Callithrix jacchus: one gene and its partners. Each later gene encodes a partner of the first gene's protein in a complex. Links are inferred from orthologs where the notes say so. Each region holds a gene or a part of one and is shown in the gene's direction. Other genes may lie near its edges.

Evidence for each region.
Region 2: DDX39B (region 1) and THOC1 share a complex: the UniProt entries of both Homo sapiens proteins name them as parts of the transcription/export (TREX) complex. The link is inferred for Callithrix jacchus from reciprocal best matches to the Homo sapiens genes DDX39B and THOC1.
Region 3: DDX39B (region 1) and CHTOP share a complex: the UniProt entries of both Homo sapiens proteins name them as parts of the transcription/export (TREX) complex. The link is inferred for Callithrix jacchus from reciprocal best matches to the Homo sapiens genes DDX39B and CHTOP.
Region 4: DDX39B (region 1) and PPP1R8 share a complex: the UniProt entries of both Homo sapiens proteins name them as parts of the spliceosome. The link is inferred for Callithrix jacchus from reciprocal best matches to the Homo sapiens genes DDX39B and PPP1R8.

Annotation. Positions count from the first base shown.
Region 1 is NC_133505.1:39,026,381-39,030,689, reverse strand, and holds the start of DDX39B (spliceosome RNA helicase DDX39B), read left to right. Parts: upstream 1-1,507; 5' UTR 1,508-1,561; exon of another isoform or gene 1,562-1,678; intron 1,679-1,749; exon of another isoform or gene 1,750-2,097; intron 2,098-2,286; exon of another isoform or gene 2,287-2,364; intron 2,365-2,956; 5' UTR 2,957-3,089; coding exon 3,090-3,300; intron 3,301-4,309. UniProt on the Homo sapiens protein: Involved in nuclear export of spliced and unspliced mRNA. Component of the TREX complex which is thought to couple mRNA transcription, processing and nuclear export, and specifically associates with spliced mRNA and not with unspliced pre-mRNA.
Region 2 is NC_133514.1:63,767,195-63,770,715, forward strand, and holds part of THOC1 (THO complex subunit 1), read left to right. Parts: exon of another isoform or gene 1-1,995; intron 1,996-2,401; coding exon 2,402-2,520; intron 2,521-2,968; coding exon 2,969-3,017; intron 3,018-3,438; coding exon 3,439-3,521. UniProt on the Homo sapiens protein: Component of the THO subcomplex of the TREX complex which is thought to couple mRNA transcription, processing and nuclear export, and which specifically associates with spliced mRNA and not with unspliced pre-mRNA.
Region 3 is NC_133519.1:14,065,732-14,067,934, forward strand, and holds the end of CHTOP (chromatin target of PRMT1 protein), read left to right. Parts: intron 1-480; coding exon 481-686; 3' UTR 687-1,702; downstream 1,703-2,203. UniProt on the Homo sapiens protein: Plays an important role in the ligand-dependent activation of estrogen receptor target genes. May play a role in the silencing of fetal globin genes.
Region 4 is NC_133508.1:64,505,563-64,509,083, forward strand, and holds part of PPP1R8 (nuclear inhibitor of protein phosphatase 1), read left to right. Parts: intron 1-932; coding exon 933-1,077; intron 1,078-3,521. UniProt on the Homo sapiens protein: Inhibitor subunit of the major nuclear protein phosphatase-1 (PP-1). It has RNA-binding activity but does not cleave RNA and may target PP-1 to RNA-associated substrates. May also be involved in pre-mRNA splicing.

The DNA of each region.
Region 1 (4,309 bases):
TGTTTTGTAAACACTGTGAGAACAGGGTTATTCACTGCTGTGTCCCCAGATGCTAGGACAGCACATGGCACAGGGTAGACAGTTGGTAAATACTTTTGAATAAATTAAATGATACTTGGGAAAGCAGCCCTTTTATGACACCATTCTTGAATCAGCTACTTCATTTTATTACTGAAGATAAGCTTGCTTCACCAAGGATTTGAACTAATGAGGTAACCCCTAGGTATTTAGTAACCAGATTCTTTGAGCACGGAGGCAGAATACAATAGAGAATTAGAGGTGTTTGCATCCTGGCTGTAACCTCACCAGCCGTACTCCTTGGGACATGTTGCTTTGCCTCTGTCAATGAGATGGGAATAACGGTACTTACTCCTTAGTATTAAATGTGCTAACAGGGAGAAGGCCAAACGTTTGTTATTTATGTTACACAGCAGGACATTATGTCTTATTTTTGTAGCTCCCCATGTCAAAGACGGGGAAGTCAAATGTTTCAAGCAGAAAAAAATCCAGGCTGAACAACGGGACTGTTGGGGCGGGGCCAAAAACTTCTGCTCAAATTAACAGAATTAATGGGCCAAGCGATGTGGCTCACGCCTGTAATCCCAGCACTTTGGGAGGCCGAGGTGGGTGGAACATCTGAGGTCATACATGGGTGAAACCCCATCTCTACTAAAAACACAAACATTTGCTGGGTGTGGAGGCGCCTGTAATTCCAGCTACTCGGGAGGCTGAGGCAGGAGAATCGCTCAAACCCGGCAGGCGGAGTTTGCAGTAAGCCGAGATCGCGCCACTGCACTCTAGCCTGGGCGAAAGAGCAAGACTCCGTCTCAAACCAAAAAACAAAATTAATGAAATGTAGTATAACCCTCAGGCCCTACTATTAACACTTAGGGGAGAATCCAGACCCAGTCTCCCGTTCGGATTCAGAACACCTTCCGGACTCACTGGCCCTAGGGATCAGCTACCTAGGACAGCATCGTTTTGGGAAAATGCCGCCCACCAGCCCCACCACAGGGAAAGAGTCGGACAACACCCACGAGTACGCCAGTTCCCTTAGACTTCCCTCAGCTAGGGCCTGCCGTTTCCTAGTGCGTGCACAGCCGCCCTCAGGTCACCTTCACTACAGGGCCAAGGACCCCGTGGGAACTCGCAGGCCTTGCCACTCTCGTTCCTCGCGCGTCCATGGAGGGGTGCCTAGAGAGAAGACCTGCGTGGCAAAAACCTAAACGAAGAGATGAGGGGCATGGAGAAGAGTAGAAAAAGATCAGAAAGATAACAGTGGGAGGAGATGTTAGTTTCCTTTATAACTTTTGTTACTGGCGGTAGCAGGGAAGTTAGAAATGGTTTTAAAACAAATTTCAGACAGGCATTTTCCAAAGGCAAGCCTGGAGCGCGCGGATCCATACAACTGCGGAAGGCCCTGTTTCCGGTCCTTTGCGCCTGCGCTCTTGCAGCCAAGAAGGCGGGAGGCCGCAGTAGAGAGAAGGCTGCAACCGGAAGTGAAGGCAGATTTCCCTCCTTCGTCGCTGTTGCTGCCGCCATACGCGCTCTCCCTGCTTAGGTAAGCTTCGGCCTTCGCTACAATCCGTTTTCATCTGCGCTTCTCCGTACCCATCCCGTCACATGGGTTCCTGATACCCTCTTCACAGGCGCTGGTCTGATCGCTGGGGCCTAGTTGGTTCGTTATTTCTGTAGCCTGCATCCCTTTCGAGAGCAAACTGTTCCTGGGGGGAGGAAGGGTAGCTAAGAGGGGGCCCAATCCAAGATGGTGTCCTCGGCGCCATTGTGTTCGCTTTGCTCCCTTCATCCAGTGGGTTCTTCTCATATTGGAGGCCTCATCATCAATGAGAGGCGGCGCTAGGCGTCCCTTGGTCTTGGTATTTGCGGAGGGCGGGGCTCTTCTCACCTTCCTTGTCTTTTTTTGGGCCCTTTCTCGGCCCACGATGGGGCTGGGAGGAGGAGCCGGTTGGATTTTTCTCACCTCGACTTGCCCAACCTAATCTGGAGTGCCTTCCAAGTGTTTACGATTGGTGTCATTGTATGTTTCTCAGAAAGGAGTCTCACCTTCGTAGCGCAACAGTGATGTGAGACCACTTGGTAAAGATTTTGTCGAAGCCTGGGTGGGGATTGCCTTTCTCTGTCAACTCTTAGCTTATTGTAGGGTGGAGACGTGAAATTTTTTGTTGTTGTTGCTGAGCCATTTGTCTTGCACTGCCCGCCCCATGCTAATTACACAAGGATATCTTAACGGAAGGGAGGGTACTGAGAAGTGGGAGGTGGACGGCGGCCATATGATGTTTTCCTTTCGAAAGGTGAGCGCTTTGCGCAGTGATGACCCTCATCTATCACCCTTGACTGATGGCTGCTGAGTTAGGCATCTGCACGTTGGGATTATAATAGGGAAAGCGCGGTCCTATGAGGATTTTTCGGACTCTGTCATCTCCATTTTCCACTTCTCCAAGTTATTAGTAGTATTTTATCCTTTATTATCTATTTTGTTTCATCCTTGTTACTTTCAGATCAAGAATTTATTTTTTTTTCTTTTTATTTATTTATTTTTAAAGATGGGGTTTCACCATGATGGCCAGGCTGGTCTTGAACTCCTGACCTCAGGTGATCCACCCACCTCGGCCTCCCAAAGGGCTAGGATTACAGGCGTGAGCCACTGCGCCCGGCCCAGATCAAGAATGTATAAGTTGGTCTTCCTGTTCCAACTTTTCTGGTTTCTGCTACTCGGATTGCTAATCTTGTTGGGATCCTGTGTCCTAAGCATTTTCCCTGGGACTGCTTTTTCTATGCTGTTTTATTTGCTTTTCGCTTGTATGTTTTGTATCTGTTTCTCTTTCCAGGTAAAAGTTTCCCAGTTTAGGGGAAGTGGGAACTGGGGATGGAAAAGAGGAGGTGAAGGCTCTGCTTATGACTAAATCTTGCTTTTTTTTTCTCCCCCCCCCTGCAGCTCTTCTTTTAGAAACTAGTATCTTTGCTTTCCTTTGCTGTTCATCAACCCCCTAATTTTCACCCCTTGTTTTCACCTATTTTCCAAGAACCCATCCAGAGCCCCCTTCCCTTTTTCCCCTGCCGGCCCAGTTATGGCAGAGAACGATGTAGACAATGAGCTCTTGGACTATGAAGATGATGAGGTGGAGACAGCAGCTGGGGGAGATGGGGCTGAGGCCCCTGCCAAGAAGGATGTCAAGGGCTCCTATGTCTCCATCCACAGCTCTGGCTTTCGTGACTTCCTGCTCAAGCCAGAGTTGCTCCGGGCCATTGTCGACTGTGGCTTTGAGCATCCATCAGAAGGTAAATTTTCTCTTGGGCATGTATGCTCATTAGGCTCTTTAAGGATGATAAAAAGATGTGTTCATTGTTGCTCAGGTGGTAAAGGTTTATACTTAAGGCTAGATCAGGACCAGTTGCAGTCGCTCATTCCTGTAATCCCAGCACTATGGGAGGCCAAGGTAGGAGAGGGTCAGTTGAGCTCAAGAGTGCAGGAGAAGCCTGGGAAACCTAGGGACTCCTGTCTCTATGAAACGTTCAAAAATTAGCCAGGTGTGGTGGCGTACACATGGAGAGGTATGGCAAGCCAGGGGAGGATTGCTTGGGCCCTGAAGATTGGGGCTGTAGTGAACCATTATTGTACTACAGTACGCCAGCCTGGGTGACAGCAAGGGAAAAAAAATCAGGAGATAAGTATCAAAAACAATTTTGGATATAGGAGGCTTATACAGGTTTATTGTTTCTTTTATGATAGCAACAAAGTGCCAGTGATTCAAGAGTAACTTATAGGTCTGCTCTTCATTCTTGTGACTGGCTTTTCTTCTCCAAGACGGAGTCTTGCTCTTTCGCCAGGCTGGAGTGCAGTGGCATGATCTCAGCTCACTGCACCCTCCATCTCCTGGGTTCAAGTGATTTTCCTTCCTCAGCCTCAAGAGTAGCTGGGACTATAGGCATGCACCACCTTGCCTGGCTGATTTTTTTTTTGTATTTTAGTAGAGATAGATTTCATCATGTTGGCCAGGATGGTCTCAATCTCTTGACTTCATGGTCAGCCCACCTCGGGCTCCCAAAGTGTTGGGATTAAGGCGTGAGCCACCATGGCCGGCCTTGTCTGCTTATTTTTAATTTTGTCACTTCTAATTTTAAATTTCCAGAGAGCTCCTGGTTGGACCTGTAGACCCCCTTTGTTGGGCCAGGCCACCTGTGGTCTCTGGAAGCCTCTGTGACTGGTTTAAAGATGACTGGCTTCTGGGTCAGGTACCAAGTCCTTCATTTCGTTCAGGGTTGCAGTTATGTGATCCAAAGTAGGGCA
Region 2 (3,521 bases), on another chromosome or scaffold:
AATTAATGTCGTTAAACTTTTATACGAGATGCCTAATCATGCATTCATTCATTAGGCATAGTTAGATGAGTTCCACAATGTAATATTCCTTGTCTGGTTTCCATCAATTTTCAGTCTGTTCTTAGGTTATTGACTTTATACATTACTCTTGTGTGTGTTTGATGTTTTTAATGGAAAACATTGTACAAAATGTAGTCTGTACTTGAGACTTTTAAGAAGGGTAAGGACTTAAGAGCTTAAACTGTAGAGGCATAAATGCATTTTTATTTTAGGGGGAATTTTTCTTTTTGAGAGATTATTATTTGCTTATGTGACATGTTTTTAAATTATCCATAAATATATTTTGTTAAATTCAATTTGGCCAATATTTATTGAGCTTCTATTCAGTGTGAAACACTACTGGCTTAAGCATACAAAAATTCCTACTCTTAAAAAACTCATAGTCTACACTCAAAGGTAACTAGTTGGATGTGCTAAATTCTACAGTATATTTATGTACAGTGTGCTTAAAAAGCGTAAATGAAGTAGCCTGCTTCAAGATATCAGAGTTATTTAGATGAGCTGACATTCACTCTGTGCTTAGAAAGATGGAGTTGAAATGTACCCTGTGGTAAAGATGAGGAAGAATATTTAGGCAGAAAATAACATTGTAAACAAAACATGGAAGGATGAACATAGCATGGTGTTTGGGAACTGGGGAGTGGGAACCAGGGAGGGATGTCTGTAGCCCAGGTAAAGATAAGAAGAGAGGCTGGTATGGAAGCTGGAGCACAGGTTGTGAAAGCTCTTGGGGGATCACACTATAACCCAGTGGTTCCCAGACTTGCTGGCTCATCAGAACCGCCAGTGAATCTATTTTTAAATGAGATTCTCAAACCTTACTTAGTCCTACTGACTCAGAATCTTTGGCAGTAGAATCTAGAAAATTTTCTTAAGTTCTATAATTATTAAATGTGAGTTTACTTATTCCAGGCTATACTGCAACTAAGGGCAGAGAGTATGCTTCTCAAATCTTTTGGATGTGCAGGATATATAATATCACTGAATCTAAGTATTGTTAGGGACTTCAGAGGTTGTCTAGTCCAGTCTCATCTCTAGCCCAGACTGCTTCTCTGCTGTAACATCCTTGATGGGTAGTCATCCAGCTCTGCTGAATCATGCTCATTAGAGGAACTCACTGTTAGAGTCCTGTTAGACAGAACTAGTTATTGGTGTGTTCCCTTGTATTGAGTTGAAATCTGTTCTTTATTCCACCCACTGCTTTTAGGCAGTATCCCTCACATCGCATTTCAGATGTGATCTTACTAGTGCAGAGTAGAGCTGGAAATATTTCTTCCTTTTTCTGGACATACTATATTAATAGATCATTTGGGGCTTAGAGCACCCTAGATATTTTCCCTCCATATACCATGCCTAAGTGGCTATTTTTCTTAAACACTTATGAGTGTTAGTAAGTACCCATTACCTTAAAATAGAAAGAAGAATGAGTAGGGATATAAAAGTATTTCTGAGTAGTCTAAATGAACTTTTCTTAAGATAAATTTTTATTTTGTTCTTTAAACAGCAACTTTCTACTTTTCCATTCTTTCCCCTGAAACAGTCCTATCATTTTAAATATTAAATAATAGTTAAAATCAGTATCAAACCTTGTTATTTTTTGAAGATAATCTTTTCAAATCACCAAGGCAATTTAGCAGCATTACAAAACATTTGGAAATGAGAAAAAGGGAAAACAGTACTCATAATTCCTCTACTTTTAAAAACTGCCATTCATCTGGTATAATGGTTTAGTTTCTATAGTCTTTTAATAATTTTTTAATGTCATAACCATATGTACATACAGTTTTGAATCCTGCCTTTTTCACTTCGCATTATATCATAAGCATTTTTCCAAGTTGTTATAGTCATTATAACCATCGTTTTTAATTGGCTGCATTATATTCTTTTGAATAGCTTAGTGGTGAAGAAAACAGACTGTGGAGCCAGACTGCCTGGGTTCGTATCCCAGCTCTACCACTTACTGGCTCTATGATCTTGGGCAAGTTATTTAACCTCTCTGTGTCTCAGTTTTCCCATTCTATAAAATACAAATAATGATATGCTCTACCTCATAGGGTTATAAGGATTAATATGTTAGTATATGTAAAGCACTTAGTGTGCCTGACATATAGTAAATGCTCTAGATCTTGTCAAGAATTATCATTACTGAGTGCACATATCAAAAATTACTTAAGTATGTCCTGTTTGGGGACTTTTAGATTGCTTCCATTTCTTTTCCTTTAAAAACCTTGTTATGAGTAACAAAGTGTACATTTTAAGATGTTCTTCAGAATTATTTTTTATGGGCTCTTTTACTCTATAGTTTTTTACACTTTTAAATTGGCTTGTGCTCCACTTGAAGGTATTTGTACTGCATCTACACCTTTTGTATTGTTGGGAGATGTTTTGGATTGTCTTCCTTTGGATCAGTGTGACACAATATTCACTTTTGTGGAAAAAAATGTTGCTACTTGGAAATCAGTAAGTGCCTTAGTTTCTTTTCCTGCTAACTTTATCTGTCTATAGATCCAGAGTTCTGAGGATAGATTTTTTTTTCTAATTTATTTCTAGTATTGCTGATCACGAACAAGTTTGTGACTGTGAAAAAAGTATATACTGCTCTCTTGGTAGAGCCAAATAAAAACCATGTGTGGAGAAAAACTTGAAATACAAAATTTGATTTAATTTGAGTAGTAAAAATTAACTTGAAAATGTACACTTTCACATGTTTAAAACAATTACTTAGTATCATGTTATCTTGTATATCTGAAAAATATTTTTATTTCATTGAAAATGTTATTCACTTAAAAAAAGTGAAAGTGGCGTAGTAGATTCTCAGTGCATGTTAGTATTTGACTTCCTGTGACTTATTATTGAAGAATGTGTAACAAATTCTGAAGAAGAGTGATAATTTCCATCTTAATTTCAGAATACATTCTATTCTGCTGGGAAAAATTACTTACTACGCATGTGCAATGGTAAGTAATTGAGTGATAAAATGTTTGTTTTTAAAATGTAAATGTGCCCAGAAAAACAGGCGGTTGAATTAAATACCAGTGATAACATTTTGAAGGTAGATTAGGTATCTGCATTTTCAACTAACATTCTGATTTGTTAGAACTCACCATTCATTTTAAACTGTTTTTGTTCTGGATGTAAATTTGATGAAAATCAGAAACGTTATAGTAAAGTTTGTCTTTTTCATGTCCTGTTGAACTTGTTTTGTTCCTAATTTATAGTACTTTTTGGGGGCAGTGGTTTCTGCTCCCATTTGAAGAACTGCTTTAGGAAAATACTCTTGACAAACTGGTTTAGAAACTTAAAAGTTTCTAATAAGTTTCTATGGTTGTAATAAACATAGAATTATCCTGTGTAACGTTTATTTTCGTATATTGTTAGATCTCCTAAGAAGATTATCTAAATCCCAGAATACAGTCTTCTGTGGACGAATTCAGCTCTTTTTGGCTAGGCTTTTCCCTCTG
Region 3 (2,203 bases), on another chromosome or scaffold:
ATTAGACTTGATAAGTTTAAAGAAAGATGAGATAACGTTCCAGAAGGGTTTCTGATAAACTTAATTTGAAAACCATCTTACTTTACACCCTGATTATCTGTACCCTTGTTACCACCTGCCTATCTTACTAAACAAGGTTATGTATTTTAATTATAAACTTAGTGAATCTCAAATCTTAGGTTCAGTTAAGGTTTTCTTTTTTAACTATAGTTGTCAGTTAATTACTTTCCTTTTTTGATAGAATAATAATTGTTCAAATAGCATTTAGAGATGATCCTGTGACAAGGGATTCATTATGTGTGCTTTCCATGTGTGGCTTTCTACCCAGTGTCTTTCCTGTTTTCCACATTTCTCCTCTTTCCCTGCCCTTCAGCTTTTCTCAGCTAGGCCCTGCAACTCTAAGGGGCATTTACTATAGCACCTATTAAACTTATTTGTAACTGTCTCTCTTTTTTTTTTTTTTTTTCTCCTTTGGGCCAGGTCGGGGTATGATAGGTCGGGGAAGAGGGGGCTTTGGAGGCCGAGGCCGAGGCCGTGGACGAGGGAGAGGTGCCCTTGCTCGCCCTGTATTGACCAAGGAGCAGCTGGACAACCAATTGGATGCATACATGTCGAAAACAAAAGGACACCTGGATGCTGAGTTGGATGCCTACATGGCGCAGACAGATCCCGAAACCAATGATTGAAGCCTGCCCACCCTGCCATGAGAGACTCTTGTTAGTCCACACGTCTGTAAATAGCCTTGAGATAACAGATGAGAAGAAATCTGATTGATGCTGGATGGACCTATTACAATAGGCTATGGACTTACTTGCCACCAGCTTGTGCATTTAGTGTGTTCCTTTTACTTTTTGATACTGTATTGTATGAAGCCCTTTTGTCCTTTGATTTGGTTTTTTGTTTTTGTTTTCTTTTTCGGGGGTGGGGTATTTTCCCCTCCTGTACCCAGACTTCTCTTTGAACACAAATGCATTAGCCTTGTGGCTAGAACACCCTCTTCCTACCTCTGCCTTCCCTCACTTGTCAGATGCTCTGACATGCTAACATTTCTTTTGTTGATCTCTGTTGCCCCCACAGAAAGGTCCCAGAAAAAAAAGTGTTCCTCCCTGATGCTTAGATTTCTGAGGTAGGGTTCTGTCACATCCTCTTCAATAGCCTCTTTAAAATGTTAAGAAAGTCTGGAGCTCAAAGATGCATTCTTCCACATTGATAATTTAGTAAATGAGCACATTGACATCACTACAGGGCAGCATAAGAGGTTGCTTACATGTGATAGCAGCTCTGATTTGGTCAAAGTTGCTACCATGTACATTGACACATGTATAACCAGCATGCTGGGTTGAGTTGTACTAGATTTCTACCATTCTGTGAGATTTACACACTTTCTCTTGGCTTTGTATCCAGGAGGGTACTATAGGGTTGGTTTATACCTATAAATAATACAGAGGAAAAAGCCATTTGATTTGGTAGGTGTGTCAGAATGGAGAATGATGGCGGATGAAGTGCTGGAAGAGGTCAGAAAATATCCATGCCAAAATGTAATTATCCTCATTTTATCCCAAACCAATCTCGGGACTTTTCCACTCACTAGCTTTATTTCACCCTTATTTCCCTTGAAAGTTTAAGTTCAACCAATTGTAACTGTTCCAGTTTCAGTGGAATCTTGTATTTCTGGTTCATTATAACAAATTGTTTGCTCAAATCCACCCAGTACTCTTTATTTGGAGCGCCTCAAAATGCTGTGGCTACTTTAATGATGTCTTTTGAGACGGAGTCTTGCTTTGTCGCCAGGCTACAGTACAATGGTGTGATCTTGGCTCACTGCAACCTCTGCCTCTGGGTTCAAGCAATTCTCCCTCAGCCTCCCAATTAGCCTGGATTACAGGCACACGCCAGCACACCCAGCTAATTTTTGTATTTTTAGTAGAGACGGTTTCACCATGTTGGCCAGGATGGTCTCCGTCTCTCAACCTCATGATCCACCCACCTCGGCCTCCCAAAGTGCTGGGATTACAAGTGTGAGCCACTGTGCCTTGCCGCTTTAATGATATCTTTATATACCCCTTGTGTGGTTGAGAGAATCTCTTCCTGCTTGTGTTAAAATTCTGGAGAGACTGTGGCTTTAGCAGAAAGTGAAGAATTTGACTTCCTCTGAGCCCTGCAGAAATAATATGCCCACAAAAAAGCAAGATCATCTTGGGCA
Region 4 (3,521 bases), on another chromosome or scaffold:
AAATAGACCAAATGCAGTCATGTCCTTAACCACCCACATGCATTTACTATTCCTGTACACCAGAGCAGTTTCCCAGCTCTTAGGAAGAAAGGCACAATAGAAATTGTACAGTTTAGAAGTCGTTTTCTTGTGAAGAAGTAGGTTCATAGCCAGGGACCTTGCTGGCAGTCACCGTTGCCCATTTCCCCTTCAGGCCGCCTCTATCCAGGCTGCTTCTGTGCTTCCATGGCTTTTAGTTCAGCATGTTAGATGCTCCCTGGATATTCATTCTTAAGACATTTAGAGTATCTCAAACTGGTGTTTTGTACCAGAATGGAATAATTTCAGTGGATTGGGAAGAGGCAAGCAGCAGGCCAAGTTAATTATTGAGATAGTTATGAATAGAACTGGGACCAGACACACAACGGGGAATGACAAAATATTAACGCCGAAAATTAAGGGCACTAGCAGTCTCTTTAATTTTAAAGGAGAAAGCTACTGGGAAAGAAGCAGCCAATTGTCCTTTTTCATCTCTATTTTGTTACTTGAAAACAATTATTGATGTTCCTCCCAGCCACATTTCCTTTTAATTATCAGCTTGTTGTGGACATGAAGACATGAGAGTCTTTCTTTAACAGCAAAAGATAACACAACTCAAGTATTTGCACAGATGGACATGTTCTCAGCTCAAGGCCCTTTACTTCCTTTTGAATATCACTGCCCCACTAGTCAATGAGGATGTTCCTTCCACATTCTTTCTAATGAGATTTGAGACTTGTTAATATTAGTAGTGTCGGCATAGTATGGATCTTCTCTAAATGCAGAAGAGTCTCATCTGTCTTTGTAAGTCAAGATTAGCCCCTCATGCCTTCCTGACCTTTATTTAGTATTATTTTCTCCATCAGATTCCCTTTGTACTGACTCCTGTCTTTCCTGTATGAACCCTGGCTTAGAACCTGACAGAGTTCAACACTGCCCACAACAAGCGGATTTCTACCCTTACCATTGAAGAGGGAAATCTGGACATTCAAAGACCAAAGAGGAAGAGGAAGAACTCAAGGGTGACATTCAGTGAGGATGATGAGATCATCAACCCAGGTGAGGTGTCTTGCTAGTTCATTCTGATGAAAAAGCTGTGATTGGCCCAGGCACAGTGGCTCATGCCTGTAATCCCAGCACTTTGGGAGGCCAAGGAGAGTGGATCACTTGAAGTCAGGAGTTCAAGACTAGACTGGCCAACATGGTGAAACCCCATCTCTACTAAAAAAAAAAATATATATATATATATATATATATATATATATATATATATTAGCCTATATATATATATATATAGGCTGCTTTATAATATAATATATATATATTAGCTGGGTATGATGGTGCTTGCCTGTAGTCCCAGCTGCTGGGGAGGCTGAGGCAGGAGAATTGCTTTAACCCAGGAGGCAGAAGCTGCAGTGTGCGGGGATTGTGTCACTGCACTCCAGCCTGGGCGACAGAAAAAAAAGAAAAAGAAAAAAAGCTGTGGTTGGCCAGGCATGGTAGCTTATGCCTGTAATTCCAGCATTTGGGAGGCTGAAGTAGGTAGATCGCTTGAGGCCAGAATTTCAAGACCAGGCTGGCCAACATGGCAGAACCCTGCCTCTACAAAAAATATAAAAATCAGCCAGGAGTGGTGGCACACACCTATATAGTCCCAGCTACTCCAGAAGCTGAGGCAGGAGAATCGCTTGAACCTGGGAGGTAGAGGCTGCAGTGAGCCGAGATCATGTCACTGCACTTCAACCTGGATGATGGAGTGATACTGTCTCCAAAAAAAAGTTTCCAGGGTGGGACCTAGAAGTTTATATAATTTTTAGTTTTTCTTTTTTTTTCTTTTTGAGACAAGATCTCATTCTCTCGCCCAGGCTAGAGTGCAGTGGCACAGTCATGGCTCACTACAGCCTTAACCACCCAGGCAGGCTCAGGTGATCCTCCCACCTCAGCCTCCTGAGTATCTGGGACAACAGGTACATGCCACCATGCTCAGCTAATTTTTGTATGTTTTGTAGAAACAGGGTTTTGTCATGTTGCCCAGGCTGGTCTTGAACTCCTGGGCTTATGCAGTCCTCCCGCATCAGTCTCCCAAAGTACTGGATTATAAGCATGAGCTCCCATACCTGGCCGAAATTTATATTTTTATATATATATATATGATTTTTTTTGAGATGGAGTTTCGCTGTTGTTACCCAGACTGGAGTGCAATGGCATGATCTCGGCTCACTGCAACCTCCGCCTCCTGGGTTCAAGCAATTCTCCTGCCTCAGCCTCCCGAGTAGCTGGGACTAAGGTGCACACCACCATGCCCAGCTAATTTTTTTTTTTGTATTTTTAGTAGAGATGGGGTTTTACCTTGCTGACCAGAATGGTCTTGATCTCTTGACCTTGTGATCCACCCACCTCGGCCTCCCAAAGTGCTGGGATTATAGGCGTGAGCCACCGTGCCCGGCCTGAAATTTATATTGTTAATGAGCTCCTGTTTGTACACAGCCAGCAGTTTGGGAACCACTGGACTAGACAAATTTCTTAAGTCTTTTTCAGGAGTGAGGACCGGGTCTGCTCTGTTTTTCTCATTGAAAGTTAGTGCCCTAGAGCTTTCTTAGGGAAGGGTATTCCAGCAGTTAGTATAGTGATTAAGAGCATAGGCTCTGAAACCAGAGGGACAATGAAAGAAGATTGGGGTACCTTTTTAGAGACATTATCTCTCTCTGGGATCCTCTCTAGGATGGGAAAAAAAAAAGAGAGAGAGAGACGTTATCTCTTTCTTTTTATTTTGTTTTTATTTTTTTATTTTTTTGAGACGGAGTTTCGCTCTTGTTACCCAGGCTGGAGTGCAGTGGCGCAATCTCGGCTCACCGCAGCCTCCGCCTCCTGGGTTCAGGCAATTCTCCTGCCTCAGCCTCCTGAGTAGCTGGGATTACAGGCACGCGCCACCATGCCCAGCTAATTTTTTGTATTTTTAGTAGAGACAGGGTTTCACCATGTTGACCAGGATGGTCTTGATCTCTTGACCTCGTGATCCACCCACCTGGGCCTCCCAAAGTGCTGGGATCACAGGCGTGAGCCACCGCGTTATCTCTTTATTGATGAGCTTGGATATTTTTTCCTTTCTCTTCAATATAGAAGCCATTCATTCACTGATCATAGATTGATTGATGGTGAGCATAATAGCAGAGTGTGCTCTTTAAAGGCATCTGAATATGTGAAAATCCAGACTTAAAGCAAACAAACCCAAGGCTAATTCTAATTACTCAAATTAAATAGGGATTCTTTGTTTTCCAAGGGGATTCCTGAGAGTGTTTCTTTCAATAACAAGCAACCTCATTTAATATATGATTGCTGCATCTATTAGGGAAACTATTGCTATATTAAGTTAATTGGGGCTTGGAGTAGTTTTCTTTAGTAGTGATACATAAGTTGGTGCCTGCCTGTTTCTACACATTAAACATTCAGTGAGCCGGGCGCGGTGGCTCATGCCTGTAATGAGGTCAAGAGATCGAGACCAT